Rattus norvegicus: one gene and its partners. Each later gene encodes a partner of the first gene's protein in a complex. Links are inferred from orthologs where the notes say so. Each region holds a gene or a part of one and is shown in the gene's direction. Other genes may lie near its edges.

What was found. Proteins that work in one complex are often made in the same cells at the same time.
Region 2: the proteins of Eif4e (region 1) and Eif4ebp2 are in contact, whole or in part, in a crystal structure (PDB 3AM7), measured with the Homo sapiens proteins. The link is inferred for Rattus norvegicus from reciprocal best matches to the Homo sapiens genes EIF4E and EIF4EBP2. Residues at the interface, in NP_001959.1 of Homo sapiens: His37, Pro38, Leu39, Gln40, Val69, Trp73, Tyr76, Asn77, Leu131, Glu132, Leu135, Ile138, Gly139, Glu140, Ser141, Asp143, Asp144, Ser146, Asp147, Arg186; in NP_004087.1 of Homo sapiens: Pro47, Thr50, Arg51, Ile52, Ile53, Tyr54, Arg56, Phe58, Leu59, Leu60, Arg62, Arg63, Asn64.
Region 3: Eif4e (region 1) and Cyfip1 share a complex: the UniProt entries of both Homo sapiens proteins name them as parts of the CYFIP1-EIF4E-FMR1 complex. The link is inferred for Rattus norvegicus from reciprocal best matches to the Homo sapiens genes EIF4E and CYFIP1.

The regions. Positions count from the first base shown.
Region 1 is NC_086020.1:229,737,829-229,745,441, forward strand, and holds the start of Eif4e (eukaryotic translation initiation factor 4E), read left to right. Parts: upstream 1-2,924; 5' UTR 2,925-2,937; coding exon 2,938-2,955; intron 2,956-3,357; exon of another isoform or gene 3,358-3,429; intron 3,430-7,613. UniProt on the Homo sapiens protein: Acts in the cytoplasm to initiate and regulate protein synthesis and is required in the nucleus for export of a subset of mRNAs from the nucleus to the cytoplasm which promotes processes such as RNA capping, processing and splicing.
Region 2 is NC_086038.1:29,940,123-29,944,345, reverse strand, and holds the start of Eif4ebp2 (eukaryotic translation initiation factor 4E-binding protein 2), read left to right. Parts: upstream 1-1,423; 5' UTR 1,424-1,645; coding exon 1,646-1,790; intron 1,791-4,223.
Region 3 is NC_086019.1:115,845,320-115,849,619, forward strand, and holds the start of Cyfip1 (cytoplasmic FMR1-interacting protein 1), read left to right. Parts: upstream 1-1,500; 5' UTR 1,501-1,589; intron 1,590-4,300. UniProt on the Homo sapiens protein: Component of the CYFIP1-EIF4E-FMR1 complex which binds to the mRNA cap and mediates translational repression. In the CYFIP1-EIF4E-FMR1 complex this subunit is an adapter between EIF4E and FMR1.

The DNA.
Region 1 (7,613 bases):
TGAGCCTTGGCTGTCCTGGACTTGATTTGTAGACCAGGCTGGCCTTGAACTCAGAGATCCACCTGCCTTTATTTCCTGAGCACTCTGACTAAAGGCATGTGCCACTACATGCACAAGCCCGGGTGTGGTAGTGAGGTGATGACTGGGCCCAGCTATCCCTTTAGTTCCAGCTTCTTTGGAAGACTGGGTAAGAGGATCCTTTGAGTGTATGAGTTCAAGACTGCCTTGGACAGCATAGACTCTAACCTCACAAATATGTGATAAGTAAGCAAAATGAAAGTGATTGCATACAGGCAGACATAACACATAAAATCTAGCCTCCAGATATTTGACAGGATGAAATCCTAAGTGTCGACACTAGGCAAACACATCTGAAATGGTAAAAATAGTCAATAAATCACATACAGATATAGAGATCAATTAAACTATATAGAATGGGGCATACTATGAAAGCACACATCTTTTTGTGGGGCACAGGGGTACTGGGAATTGCATCCAGTCTTAAGCAAACTAGGCAAACATTCTACCCCTGAGTTACACACCCTAGCCCAAAATATGAGTCTTCAGTAACAATAGAGGAGGAAGGTTGAAAAAAAAAAAACAATACAAACAAATGTTATTTAAAACAAAAATTTTATATTGGTGGCTTTCAGGCTCGTCAGGATATTTTCTTGCCAATGGATTGGTTTTTGCTGTAATCTTGCAGCTCAAAACAGGATATTTATGCTGTCTTTTCCTTTCTTTGGATAGAGATTCTCCTGTTTCTTTGGCTGGCCTGGAACTTGGCATGTCACTGAGTTTAAACTCCGGATCCTCCAGCAAGCTGGGTTTATGTGGTGTTGTGGGATCTAAAACAGGGCTCTGGGCTATATGAGTACTCTATCAACGGAGCTACAAATCAGCCTCCTAGTGCTGTCTTTTCATAGGAATTAACCAGACATCACTTTACAGACAACAGAAAATAAGGGGTCAATTGTAATCACTTCGGTTAGTGTAACAGATTTGTACAGAGAAATTCACCTATGTTTAGTTTGCAGAACTGTGTCAACTTTAGAATCTACTCCTGCTGACTAAGCAAAAGCTTTCGTGTAAATCGCTTCTGCCATCCTGGTAAACAAAAAAACACAGAGCCCCGCAGTGGCTCTGAGTTCTTACACAGCCTCAATTATGTGTTAGTCAACCCAAGCATCCATTATGTACTCAATAATAGTTAATAGCTGTGACACAGCTCGGGACAACACTAATGCCATGGAGAGGCCGGCGCAGAGATAGCCTGCTTTTCCTGGTGGTAACATTCTTAAGCTTCCTGGAAACAGCTACGAGATCCTGTCTTCCTCATTAGAACCTTTACTCAACACGGTCTTGGTCTTGAGAAACGATGGCCCAGTAACTTAGAAGAAAATGTGGCATGCCAGTGTAGGGGCAAATTTCTGCTTGTTAGAAGTTGTTATGAACATAATTTCATGAACATGAAGTTTCTGTTGGGAGCAGCGACATTCGTAAAGAAAAGCAAAGTCTTGAAACTTTAAAACTGCATTGGTGTACGTAACAAAGTAAACAAAAGAAAAATTTAAAACATTGTTAAGGGTTGGGGATATAACTCAGTTGGTAGAGTGCTTATTTAGCACTCCGAAGCCCCGAGTTCCATCCCTCTCAGCAAAAAAGGGCTCTCCCCGCCCCCACTACCAGCACGTGCCAGTAATCCCAGTACTTTGACAGGGAGGTGGAGGCAGGAGGATCAACAGTTCAAGACCATCCTCCCCTACATCTTAAGTTCAAAGCCACCGTGCGCTACAGGAGACCCAGGGTCAAGAAAAAAAATTGTTAAAACAGCAGCGGAGGCGGAGGCAGCCGGTGCTTAGAAGGCACGCGCTTGCTTCTAGATTCCGAAGCGTTTTCAAAGCTGGTTACAGTCCTTACCACAGCACACCCTTGTGAGGTAAGTGTATTATCATCTTTGGTTCATAAATGAAAAAGCTGAGGCGCTGAGTGATTAAGTCACTCGCCTAAGGAGCATGAGTCAACGTCAAGAGTCATAGTTGACCCGGCTTAACGACTCCTGACCCTCAGTCCAGGGCTGAGTCAGCGGAGCCCGGAGTGGCTTCCCTGGCTGGCACCTGGACGTAGGCTATTTCCGTTCACGTCCAAGCAGAATACTGGAACCGATTGGACAGAACTTTCCAAACTTTTTACGTCCAGCAAGATTCACCCCTGACGCCTTCATCTCAGGACTGGGAACAGGAAAAGCCGACGCGTGCACTCCCCTTCCCCAAGCGTGTGAGTGGGTACCGTGGGCAAGCCCGCCCACCCGCTTGGGCAGCGATGGCAGCAAGGGACCACCCGCGTTAGTGGACCGGGGACGGGGGAACGCAGACCTCATCAACGACTCTCCATCGCCGCCTCTTTCTGAAACCAAGAGAAAATGGTGGGAGGCGAAAAGAAAACTAAATAAAAACACAAGCAACTTGTCTTAGGACCTCAGCTAAGCAAATGAAGCCTTCTTGCGTGTGCTGAGCCTGCAGTTCTCAACCTTCTAGGAAAGATGGGAGGACTGGGCGACAGAGGGCACAGCAGGAATGCCCAGCAGTGAGAGCAACCGGAGCTCTGCCCGCTGCACCGCAGAGGCCTAAAACCTACTCTGCAGGAAGTGCGGGCGGCGCTGGGAGCCGCGCACCCTCGCCAGCGACCACGTGATCACTTTTTTTTTTTTTTGGGAGAAAAAACTTCCTTGCCTTAAGAGAAAAAAAAAAAAAAAAAAAGAGACTCCACTTCCCAGAAGCCTCTTGTTCCCCAAGCAGCTGCAGTCTTGCGCAGGCGCCGCCAGGGCCAAACGGACACGTCCGTCACGTGGGCAGGAGCCGGCCAATCCGGTTTGAATCTCATTTTTTTCCTCTCGCCCCCCCTTCAGGAGCGGTTGTGCGATCAGATCGATCTAAGATGGCGACTGTGGAACCGGTGAGTATTGCCTTCGGCCCCCACCCCCGAGGTCCCCGCGCTCTGGCTTCCTCCGCTCAGGGACTGTCCGCAGGACGGCGTTCCCGGCGCGCACAGCGCCTCCGGCCGCGTCCTGCCCCTTTCCCACCGGCCTGACCTTCCGCGGGCAGCCTCGGCGCCGGGAGGCTGGCGGCGGCAGCGTGGAGCGCACACGCCGTGTGGGGGCCCGGGCACCGGGTCGGTGGGGGAGGGGCGCCGCGCGGCCCTGCGGTGCGGCCGGCGGAGGGCGGCTCGGGCCGCCAGCGCGGGATCGGTCTGGGGTCCCGGTGGGCGTGGGGCGGGCGGCTCCTAGCGGGCACCGTGGTTGGCGGGGCGGGTGGGCGGCGAGCTGGCCTGAAAGAGTCAGAGGGAGCCTGAGGCAGCGGCGCCTCGCCGTCGCCCGCGCCCCGCCGCCGGGGTCCTCGTGCGGGCCGCGCTCTCAAGCTGTGGAGGAGGGTGGGTTGGCGGAGCCGGTGGGCGCGCGGGGCCGGGCGGGCGGGGCGCGGCAAGAAGGGGAGCGCGTCCCGCGGGGAGCTGGGGGCTGTGGCGTTGAGTGGAGAGCACGCCCAGGGGTCGTGTCGCGCACCTCCGGGGGCCGGGGAAGGGGGCCGGCCGAGAAGGTGATCACATTGTCCTGGCCCCTCCACGCCGGGACTGGGCTGTCATGGAGGAGGGAAGGGGGAGGAGCGAGGCCTACAGTTCGCTCCAGCGGGTCGGCTGGCCGTAGACCTGCATTTCACACGCGCCGGGCTTCCATTCATTCATCCTCCCGGCGCAGTGCGCACGCCTCCGAGGACCGTGTAGATTCTTCTACTCTTACGCGAGGAGATCGTCTGGGAGATACTCAAGGAACACTAATTTTGGAAATAGGAACTTTGGAGATTATCTTTTCTTTAATTAAAGGAAGGAAAATTAAGCGTGGGGGCAGCGGCGCGAGCCAGGGCTTGAGTGTGAAGGTCAGAGGGCAGCTTTTGGAGTCCTGAGAATCGAAATTCAGGAGCCTTTTCCGAACCATCACTTAAGCGCCTCAACATCTGCTTTTCCACTGATGATTCCTCCTCACTCTACACTGCTTCCCTCTTAATTAAAGCGCTATTTTGAAGTTAATTGAAGCAAGATGCACAGAGAGCATCACGTAGGTAAACCCGGTAGCCAGAAGGTGGTGATTTTTTTTGTTGTTGTTTTTGTTGTGGTTTGGGTTTGCCGGCAGCTGGCTCACTGGTCTTCCATCCCAGATTTTTAAAGAATGTCACACCTGTGTGATAAAAATCTCAGGTGCAAAAAGGCATAGACTAGCAACCAGAAACCTTTGTATACCACCTTTGCCAGATATTTTTAAAACTCACCCATAGACTGAATAATTTTGATTAGTTTGCAAAACAGCCTTATCTTGGCAGAATTCAAGACTACTTTTTTGTGGGTGGAGGCATGATTTACTTGTTCCTTATTGACATCAGCTTTCCTGCATTTTGCAAAGCTGCCTAATAAGTTGTTAGTGAAATTAACTAACTTTAGAATATCAATGTAAGAACAGGAGGGGAAGCATTTAAATTTAACTTAAACTCTTGACAAGTTCTGCCGTCTACTTCTGACTGAATCTTCTACCTTTCTCTACCAGTATTAGAGGAAAATATTACAGGTAATAATAGAGGCAAAACTAAAAAGACCTAAGTAATAAAACAGCAGTGTGAACTATGACTCTCAGTTCCATTTAAGTCTTGGATTGTGCTAAAGCCACAATGTAGTCATTGGATTTTGTTCTGAGTCAGCTCAGAGTTGCTGATACCTTTTGGGTGGTTACCAAGTGATATTTAGAATACAAAGTTATATAAAATGCGGTCTGTGCTTTGTGAGCTCTTATGGAGCCTAACTGCCAGTGTCAGGCTCAGAGGTGAGATACTCTTCCTACTGATGACCCTGTTGATGTGCATAGTGTGTGTAAATTTAAGGACAAGAGAAGCCTAGAAGCCTAACATGTGAAGGGTGGAACTTGGGTTGAAACTAGTTGGAGACAGTGTGCAAAGTGACACTGAGGTGCTCATTTTCTGTTTACTGTTAGCACACCCTTGCTTAGAGGCTAGTCATACAGTATTTTAATATTTGTAAGATTTTTTTTTGGAGCTGGGCGGTGGCTGCGGGCTACTTTCATCCCAGCACTAGGGAGACAGAGGCATTTCTTTGAGTTTGAGCCCAGCTTGTTCTACAGAGCTAGTTCCAGGATTCCCTCCAAACTGAAAAGATTTGGTTTGGATGCTTGATTTGTAGCTCAGGACCTGGTGCATTTACTAAGTTTATTCTAGCACTAAACTACACCAGTACGTTGTTTTTGAAGTACTTTATTCAGAGGCTTGGCAGAAAGGTTGTATGTAGAAGCCCACGTTGTCTGCTGTCCTGTGCAGGGCAGACCTTAGAGGTATCCCCATGGCTTAGAGCACACTAGTACTTTTTAAAAACAGATGATTTAGTCTACTATTGGATTACAGTTGAAGCTTGTAAAAATTAAAAATCTTATTTGGTCATTGCTATTTTTATTTAGCTTATGAGCTTTTGTGAGTTTTTTGTTTGTTTTGGTAGAGTATTTAATTGTAAACACTTAGAACACTGGTTCTCAACCTGTGGGGTGTGACCCTTTCGGGGGGGGGGGTGTCTAAGGACTGAGCTGCCTAAGACCACCAGAAAATACAGATATTTACATTGATTCATAACAATAGCAAAATTAGTTAGAAAGTAGCAGTGAAAATGGTTTTATTGTATTGGGACCACTATAACATGAGGAACTGCATTAAAGGGTCACAGCTTTAGGAGGGTTGAGAACCACTGACTTGGAGAGTCATGAGCTGTTGATTTTTCTCCCCCTACATATCCAACCTTTTGTAAGCACTTGCCAGATTTTTAGTCTATGGAGTTTCCATAAAGTAATTTTCAATTTGATGCTACATGGTTTTAAGTATTCGAGCTTAGTTATGTAAGTAATGGGTTACAAATATAAATTGAGAAGTTCAAAGGGGAACATTAAGGGAAGTACATTGCTCCACAGAACTTGTGGCAAAGGCTACACTCATGTTAAGCTGGGAATTGTGGCACGGTCAAGATTAGACTCTGGTAAAACTGTCCTCAGCCATGTTTCTAGTGACTCGTGCTTCTTTTAGATAGCTCGCTTTTCTTCTGCTCTGTTTTTCCTTGTTATTAGAGAATACTTTACATTAGTCTTTAATTAGAGGATAATTTCTTGTGGTTTTTACTTTTGGGTTTGTGTAGCCATTGTTGGCTTGGAACTTACTATTTATTTGGACCAGACTGGTTAGCCAAAAATTTGAGGTGGGGGTGGGAGTTCTTCCTATACTTTCTCAGTGTTGGGATTTACAGGTATACAGCACCACACCTAGTCCAGATAGTTCTTTCTTTTTCTTTTCTTTTTTTTTTTCCGGAGCTGGGGACCGAACCCAGGGCCTTGCGCATGCTAGGCAAGCGCTCTACCACTGAGCTAAATCCCCAACCCCCAGATAGTTCTTTCTTTATGCTTAGAAACCTGCTTTTAAAATAAGACTTAAAACACAAGAGAAGCCTGCTGTGGTCGTGCACACCTGAAATCTGAGCACTCAAGAGTAGAGGCAACAGAATTTTGAATTTTGCTTAGCCTACAGCAAATAAAATTGAGCACAAAAAGGTCCAGTGAGATAGATGGCTTAGGGGTAAAGATGTTTGTTGCCAAGCCTGAGGATCTGAGTTGGAGTGCTAGAACCCTCATGGTGCAAATAGGACCTCTTGTAAAGTTGTTCTCTGACCTCCAGGTCCACACCAAGACAAACACACACACACACATAGTAAATAAATATACATTTAAAAAGCTTTAAAAGGGGCTAGAGAGGTGGCTCATCAGTTAAAGCACCTCAAGAGGACTTTTCCCAGCCCCCACATGGCAGGTAGCTCACAACTGTCTGACAGGAGTTCAGGAGAACCTTCACACCAGGCACACACATGCTGCACAAATCTGTGTGTGCCGGCACACTGCCCATACACATGGGAAGAAAAGCTTTGAAAGAAAACAGGAGCACCAAATACTATAAAATGTAGTATGTTTATCAATATAAAGCTGATGGTTTGGTAAGCAGACTTTGACAATTTTTTTTCCCTTTAGTGAGGAACCCATTTAGTTTATTACTAATCCAAACTTTTGTTTGGATGTTTATTCCAAATTTCACTTCACTTTATAATCTGAATCTGTACAATTGTGTAACTTAGAGAAATTAAACCTGAATGTACAGTTTACATAGTTATCTAGAATCATGTAAAATGAGTCAGGTTGACTTAATCCAGATTGAACATAGAAAGTCCTGAGCAATTAACACTTTCATGAAACACTTAATTTCTAGAACAGCAGTTCTCAAACTGGGGGTTGAACACGACCCTTTCACAGAGGTCGCCTAAGACCATTGGAAAACACATTTATATTATTCATAACAGTAGCAAAAGTAGCTATGAAGTAGCAATGAAATAATGTTATGGTTGGGGGTCACCACAACATGAGAACCTGCATTAAAGGGTCACGGTATTAGGAAGGCTGAGAGCCACTGTAGAAAGTTAAGGATATAGTTGAGCAGAAGTACCAGCAGCCCTGGACTTAAGGGCATGTGCAGTAG
Region 2 (4,223 bases), on another chromosome or scaffold:
CTCTTCACAGCGTGGGGATATTTCATATATGGCCTTGGGCTTTTGTTTTTTTGTTTTGGGTGTTTGTTTGTTTGTTGGCTTTTCAAAACAAGGTTTCTTTGTGTAGTCCTGGCTGTTCTGGAATTCACCCTGTAGACCAGGCTGGCCTCAAATTCAGAGATCCACCTGCCTCTGCCTCCCAAGTGCTGGAATATCTGGGCTTTAGAAAAAAAAATTTAAATGTGGGTGATAAGGATTGAACTCAAGTCGTGATGTTTACACAGCAAGCAGGTGACCCGTCTCATCTTGTACTTTTCATGACTTTTTCAGACAGTCTCTTGAATCCCTCGCTGGCATCAAACTAGCTGTGCAATATAGATGGGCCTTAAACTCCTAACCATCCTATTTTCTTGTAGTGTGTTGTCTGCATGTATGTATATGCATTGTGTGTGTGTGTGTGTGTGTGTGTGTGTGTGTGTGTGTGTGTGTGTGTGCGCGCGTGCCTGGTGTTACAAAAATCAGAAAATGAGATAGGTCAAATTCCTGAAACTGTAGCAGTTATGAATGGTTCTGAGCCACCACATGTGTGCTAGGAACTGAACTCTGGTCCTCTTGGTGCTCTGCAAGAGCATCAAGTGCTCTTAACTGCTGAGCCCTTCCTCAGAGTCCTTGATTTTTTTTTTCTTTTCTTTTTTTCAGAGCTGGGGACCAACCCAGGGCCTTGAGCTTGCTATGCAAGCGCTCTACCACTGAGCTAAATCCCCAACCCCAGAGTCCTTGATTTTTTAACCCTTAGTTCATCATACATGCATTGCTTTTATTTAATAATAATTAAAACTAAATTTATACTCCTTAAAATATTTTTATTACATTTATTTATTTATGGGCGGGCGAATGGGTGCTCATGGGCTGTGTGGAGAAGTCAGAGGACAACTGGCTGGAATCTGGGGATGGAACTCGGCAGGCTTGGTGACAAGTACCTTTCTTTACCCGCTGAGCCATCTTACCGGCTCCCCAGAATTATGCTTTTTTTTTTTTTTGCCGCCCTCCCTGCCCCCCAGCGTTATGCTTTTAATGGTTAGATATAGATGGGAAACTGAAGTAGGCACCGGGAAAGTAGATAGTTGACATATACGCCACAAACAAGTTTTCCCCGCCTCCCTTAATCACCTACACTCAGCTTCGCGTCAACTCTATTCCGTTCCACAGAGCTCAGACCCGCCCCTCCAAGTCCCGCCCACCAGACCCTAAGGCTCCACCTTTGACCATTTCCTTTTTCTCGGATTTCCGGGTTTACCCTCTACCTCTAGCCTAGGTCTTCCTCAGCCCCGCCCTCAGCCCCGCCCACCATCCCTAGACACGCCCTCTAGCGTCATGTCCGGTCTCCATATTTCCCTCCCTCTACTACCCCTTGCTCCCGCCTTCGCCCGCTTCCGGTAGTCATCGTTGCCGCTGCTGCCGCTGCTCCTGCTGCTGCTGCTGCTGCTGAGGCTGCAGGCGGAGGCCGGAGGACCGGGCGGCGGCGGCGGCGGCGGCGGCGGCGGCGGGAGCAGGAGCGCAACAGGACCGAGCGAGAGCGCTGAGAGCCAAGCGCGAGGAGCCACAGCCGCCCGGGCCCCGCCGCCGCCGCCGCCGCTGCACAAAGCCACGAGCCCGCCCCGGAGCCATGTCCGCGTCGGCCGGTGGTGGACACCAGCCCAGCCAGAGCCGCGCCATTCCGACACGCACCGTGGCTATTAGCGACGCAGCGCAGCTACCTCAGGACTACTGCACCACGCCCGGGGGGACGCTGTTCTCCACAACACCGGGAGGTGAGCGGCGCCCGGCCTGCCCGCCATCACTGCTGGCGCGTGGCACACTACACGCTGGACCAACAGCTTCCTCTCCGCCGCCCGGACAGTGGGCTGCAGACCGTGCACTCTGCGCGGCGGAGCTTACCTCTAGAGTTGTCCTACGGGCATTAGGGAAGGGAGGCGCGGAAGCGTAAGATGACTTCTGGCTGCGCTTAGAGTCCCGAGACCAGGCTGGCATGCACTTTGCATGCCTCGCCCAGTGTTAACCTCCTTTGACAGCATTGTTTACTTTGTTGGAGGAGTCATTCACAGGTTGGGGGGAGCCCCAACTCTCACAAGTGGGGCGTGTAAAATAGCTCCTTTGGTATCCAAGAAGTTGATGGCTTTAGTAGAGGCGCTGTCAGGTTTCAGACCAGGGCTTTCGAGGAGCGGCTTTGAAGGTGCTTTGTCAGACAGCACACCCTAGTCGGGTTAGGTTGCTTGATCCTAGGCAAAGGGAGGTTCCTGAAGTTGCTTTTCGAAAGATGGCCGGGAACTGTGTACTATCACTGGAGAAGAGGTAAAGCAAGTTGAATTGGTCACGAGGAGGAAGCGCAAAGGTTGTTTGTCTCCTTTCTGGGCTGTTCTCTAAGAGGGAGGAGCTTGGAAAGCGTTCTTTGGTGCCTTAATGAAGGGAACTGGCTTTTCGTTTCTAATCTTAGAACTTTGCCTTCTTTTGGTGACCCGGGGGCTGGCCTTTGGCTAGAGGATAAGCAGCCCCTGCAGTCTATAGATCGCTGATCATGAGGCAGGACTCCTAACCAATCGCTTGCAACTGGGCCTGGCCGTCCTGAAATCTTGTGCAATTGGAAGGCACAGAATAAGGGGACTTTGCCAACACCAAAAGACAGCAATCCAGAAGGCTTTGTGTGGTAGTTAGGGCTGTGATCCTACTACTCCAGAAAGAAGGGGCAGGAGAATGGCAGTTTTAAGGCCAGCCCTGGCTACCTAATGAGTTCCGGGACAGCCTGTGCTACAGCATCACACCCTGTCTCAGAAAACAAACAAAAAACCAACCAAACAAGGAAGGGGGCAAAAAAAAAAAAATCAAAGCAAACATCTAGAAGAAAAGCTGGCAGAGGATCTAGCCTGGCAGGTCTAGAGAAAGGATAGTAGAAAGACATAAATGCCCTGAAAGACCTTTCAAATGGCCCAGGCAAGAGGAAGCTGCATTCATTGGGGAGAGCTGTGTTTAAGATGGGAAAGACAGTGGAGATCCTGCTGAGGGGGCAGCTGTTTAAGTTGCTGAAGACGGCTTTCTTATCTGCTTTTTTTCCAGCAGGTTATAATCTTTCTTTCCTCTTCCTTTTTTCTTGAAACAGTTTCTCCATGTGGTCCATATACATATACCTTGAACCTCTTTAAGTGATCCCCAAACCCATGACCTTGCATCCTTAACCTCCTGAGTGCTGGGATTTATTGGTGTGTGTCCCTCTGTATCTGGTGTAACAAAAATCAGAAAAGATCTTGGTCAGCCCTGAGTGGAATTGTTTCCACTTGAACAGATAACTTTTAAGAAACAGAGATTAGTGGCCAGCACTGGCCAGGCGGAGACAGGTTGATCTCTGGGATTTCAAGGCTAACCCATTGTACATAGTGAGTTCCAGGACAGCTAAGGCTACATAGTAAGAGCATGTCTCAAAAAAGAAAAAAAAAATCATTCCTAAGGTGTGGGAGAGAGAACTGTAATTTACTCCAGAGTCAGTAAAGTGCCATGCTTCTAGCAGCTCAGAGCACATGTGACCATAGCAGGTACGTTTAGCTCTGATTTACTTGGGGAGGAAGCAGACTTTTTAACTGACATTAATCTTGTTCTCCTGAGGGAAAAGCCTGTGGTCATATTGCAAACACCAAGCTGCTTGCTTTCAGAAGCAGGAAAGGCACTGAGTCTCCAAGCCTCGCTTTAGAGGTAGAAGCTGTCTTGCAGCTTGAATTAGCTCTGGGATACTTGGGAAGGTCTGCTGCAAATACTCGTTCATTTACCCTTCTTATGTAGTCACTGCATGCCCGGGCATTCTCAGCCTGCCTCTATAGAGCTTCCAGACATAGTCGTTTGTTTCAGAGGTAGGGTCTCACTGTTCTGGAACTCACTGAGATGCCCCTGCCTCTGCCTCCTGAGCAGTGGCATTAAAGGCTACGGTGCCTAGCAGTCTTTGGATTTTGATGAGGAGTGCTTGCTTCCTGGTTGTAAGGAGATGACACTGCAGGGGAGGGGTTGGAGCTGAGTTGGTTTTGATTTGATTTTTGAGACAGGGTCTCATTGTGTAGCCCTGACCAGCTCTGCCTCTCTAGTGCTGGGTTTAAAAATATGCGCCCCATGGCATGCTAGACAGTCTTGTATAGATAGCATTTAGCTCGGTGGCAGCATTTAGAGATGTACAATGCTTGCTGACTTTTACCCCTTTGGAATGA
Region 3 (4,300 bases), on another chromosome or scaffold:
CCAGTATTGAAACTTAGTCCCTAGGCTATGGTCCTGTAGAAGTGGAGGAAGTGGAAGCCTGTGTTTTGTATTTTGCTGTACCAAGGAATCAACATGTTACATTTGTATTATTATTATGGTTTAGTGTTTGTTGATTTTTATCCTCTTGTTACGAATATGTAGAGAGGCTATAAGGATTATACATTTAAATAAGTTTAACATCTCATATTTTGTAATAAACCTAAGGTGGTTAAAACACTGATATGTATCTACTGTAAATAAAATTACATAAGTTACTTAATAAAGATTTATTTTTGTTTAGTTGGGGAAGGCAAACTGGTGTGGGAGTTGGGTATGATGGTGAATGCCTGTAATTTCATCACTTGAGAGATGGAGACACGATCCGGAGTTCAAGGCTAGCCTGGGTTACATTAGTTACTGTCAGACCCCAACAACAGACAAAATGTTAAAATTCTTGGCAGTAAGGAGGGTCGTCAGGAGTGGAGAAGGGTAGGTCGTTTGGAGTTAGTTGTCTCCCTAAGTTCAGCAATACCATATTACTTAACCTTTCCCTCTTTTTCTTGGGGTCAAGGAAGGGCAAATTCAAGTCATGTTTTCTTTTGTCAGCCATTCCTGGGAGTGTGAACTTGTGTTTGCCGGTGCTCAGAAGGCAGATTAGATGGTAGGTAGCACTGTTATTTCAGGGGATACTTACTTGGGTCTGGAGTATATACATGCTCCTCCAGACTTGCTCCCACCATTTAACACATATAGGCGCCCCCTTCTCTGTCATGGTTGTACCTTCTGTGTCTCTTTTTAAGTTTAACCAGAGGCAGGACAGGAGGGCAATGAAAACTTGGGGAGGAAGATAAACTCCATCACTCATGGATTTACTGAGGCTTCTCACCAACACTGATGACAAGTTATAGTAAAATGAACCACCACGTTGTTCTTGCAGAAAAATCGAGGTTGGATTCCCATAACCCATGTAATCGGCTCACTTGCTGGGGGATCCAGCGCCCTTTTCGGACCTTTGCGGGCTCCAGGCACTCTCGTGGTGCACATACACACAAGTAAGCCAAACAAACGTTCATACTCAAAATAAAATGAACTTTTAAAAAAAAGTATCCTTAGTGAAATTTCCAGCTCTATACTGGCTAGTCCTGAAATTCTTTCCAGGATGATGGACCTTAGTCTCAGCAGAGGTCCCCCAAATCACGGAAAACTCGGGAGGCTGGTGAGCCAGGCGGTGTGGAGCTGAGTCTCCATCCTCTCCCAGCGGGCTTGACGGGTGGAGTCCACCAAGCAAATCCCGGCTTGCTTTGCTGCGGTGATCTGAGCAGCAGGCGGCAGGCGGCAGGCGGGGCTACGGTACGGGAGACTTGGAGAGACTTGGGGGCCGACCGGGCCTGCCTGGAGGAGCCGGTCCCAAGGCGGCCAGCGGGAGGAGGGAGGAGCGCCGGGAGGAAGAGGCCGAGCCGCGGAGCGCCGCCCCGGAGGAAGGGGAGGAGGCCGGGTGTTTCCTGGTGCATTCCCGACCCGCCCGAGTGACTCACTGGGGTAGGAAAGCTCCCGGGCCGCCCTGGACAACCGAAGGCGGCTCAGACCAGGTAAGGGCGGTCGCCTGGCCTCGGGGTCCTTGCTCTACTCGTAGTCTGGTGGGGCGAGCCTGCAGACGGTCTCTGCACAGCCTCCGGGACCGCACGGCCTCCCGGGATTGCCTTCTGGGCTCTGGAGTCTCCGGGTCTCTGCATGGCAGCTCCCGAGCCCGGGACTCCCGGCCCAGCTCGGCGGCTCCACGGCTCCCTCCCGGGAATCACATTCCAGAATCCCCGGGCCGTGGGCTCCCCAGTGCTAAATCCCTGTTCCCTCTGCGGTGCGCAACCGGCACTCCGGTGGCCCGGCCCCCGGGTCCCGAACCCCCAAACCCCCGCCCCGACTCACCCTGGATCCTTGGATCCCAGAGGATCCCAGATCTCGAGCTTCCGGCACGAGGTTTAGCTCCAAAGAGGAAGAGACAACGTTAATGCTTAGTATTTTACTGTTGAAAAGTAAGGATCGGCGGATAGTTAATGTTGCACTAAAGTGGCAAAACAAACCCGAGTCCACCATGGTTCTGCCTTCAGAGGAAAGGAAGGAGAGTGTAGTCTAGGGAAGTCGGTTCTCAAGATTCTTGGAGAGAGGCATTTTGGGCTTTGTTAAGGAAACGGGATTGTTCCGGAGCAGTAGTGCGCCGCCGCACATTCATACCGAATTTTGTACTTTAAGCCTAAAGCATCTGCGTAATTTGCAACATTTCGTGAGTGTGAGGAAAGAAGGAAGAGATTTGCAGCTGGGGATTGGTGAGGGGGCTAGGCAGAGGGAAGCATCGGGCAATCCGTGTGTTTACACGGGACAGTACAAGGGTGATCCTCGAGATTTCTCTTGGTTGTCTGCTAACCGATCGCTTAGTTGAGTCGTGTTTGAAGCACCACTGAGACCAGGGTACTCCTGCAGGTACTGTTACTGAGGTCTGTGCTTGCCAAGGTGGGGGGTATTGTTCCTAGACCCTCGCCAAGTTCATTGGTTGGAAGTTGAAGCACATTGATAAATTGCTTCAGTTGAAAGGTTCCTCTAAGAAATACAGCCACTAGACTAAGTGTTTGTGTATTTGAGGAAGTGTGCATTAAGGCTTTTTTTAGAAATAAACACTGTATATGTGTGTATGTTGTTTGTGTGTTCTTCTATGTGGGTGCTCAGGTGTGAATGTGTTTGCATGTGCGTGTAGAGGCCCAAGGCTGATTTGGAGTTTTCCACCTTATTCTTTGATACAGGGTCTCTCAGCTGAACCCAGAGTTCACTGATTGGAGTAGTCTTGCTAGCCAGTTTGCTCCGGAGATGCCCTGTCTCCGCCTTGGGAGCACTGGGACTTCAAGGAGGTTGCCATGCCCATTGACATTTCTGTGGGTTCTGGAGATCTGAACAGAACTGTACTCATGTTTGTGTGGCAGATGGCTAGCCACTGAGCCATCTCCCTGGCACGGGAGCGGATTTTTACCTTTACATATAGTCAAATTCATGCTTTGGAGTGTTGACTGCCACTGTAATTAAGGTGTAAAACCGGTTCCTATCACCCCGAGATTTTCTTTCCTGTGTCCCTTGGAGTTAGCTCGTTCCTATCTTCAACTCTTGGCAACCATTGATCTTCTCAGTGCTATTTTGCTTCCTCCACAAAGTTCTGTGGTAATCTTGGAGTCCTCATTTTAAGATGGTTCTATGCCCTCAGTGAAACATTTGGGGGTGTTGGGGAGGAGATTGCTACATTTAAGGCCATCCAAGATATTTTAACAGCCAAACATCGTTAAGTGAGAAATGTATGATAATATATGTAATATTATTTGTGTTACAAAAACGCTACTCAATGTCTGTAAGAAGTAAGGCCAATGCTTTGGAAAGTAGAGCCTTGGGAAGGTGGAGTGGCTTAGTGGGTATAGGTGGCACAAGTGGGTATAGGTGGCACACAGTGGGTGTAGGTGGCACACAGTGGGTGTAGGTGGCACACAGTGGGTGTAGGCGGCACACAGTGGGTATAGGTGGCACAAATGGGTATAGGTGGCACACAGTGGGTATAGGTGGCACACAGTGGGTGTAGGTGGCACAAGTGGGTATAGGTGGCACACAGTGGGTGTTGGTGGCGCAAGTGGGTATAGGTGGCACAAGTGGGTATAGGTGGCACACAGTGGGTATAGGTGGCACACAGTGGGTATAGGTGGCACACAGTGGATATAGGTGGCACACAGTGGGTATAGGTGGCACACAGTGGGTATAGGTGGCAGACAGGTCTGACAACCTGAATTACAACCCACAGTGGGAGAAGACTAACTCCTGAAAATTACCCTCTGATGTCCACAGGGATGTGGTAATTTGTGCCCAAATACATACCCTGCTTTCCCCCATGAACACACACCATACACAAATAATAAATAAGTAAGTACTCTTTAAAAGGAAAACATGTCATTCTGGATACAACCTGGAAGAAAGACTAAAATGCGGTTTCTTTTCTCTTTCCCTTTATCTTACCATTTCCAAAATGGCTCTTTAAATATCTACTTGACTTGTGTTTGTTGTGGCCTGCATGAGTTTGTGTGCACCAAATGCATGCAGGATTCTGTGGAGACCAGAGACAGTATGGGATCTCTTGGAGCAGGAGTTACAGGCTGTTGTGAACGTCCATGTGGGCGCTGGGAACTGAGCTCTAGGTCCTCTTGAAAAGCTTGTAATTGAAGAACCATCTCCATCCAGCACGGTTTCATTGTGTGGCCCAGACAGCCTTGAATTCATG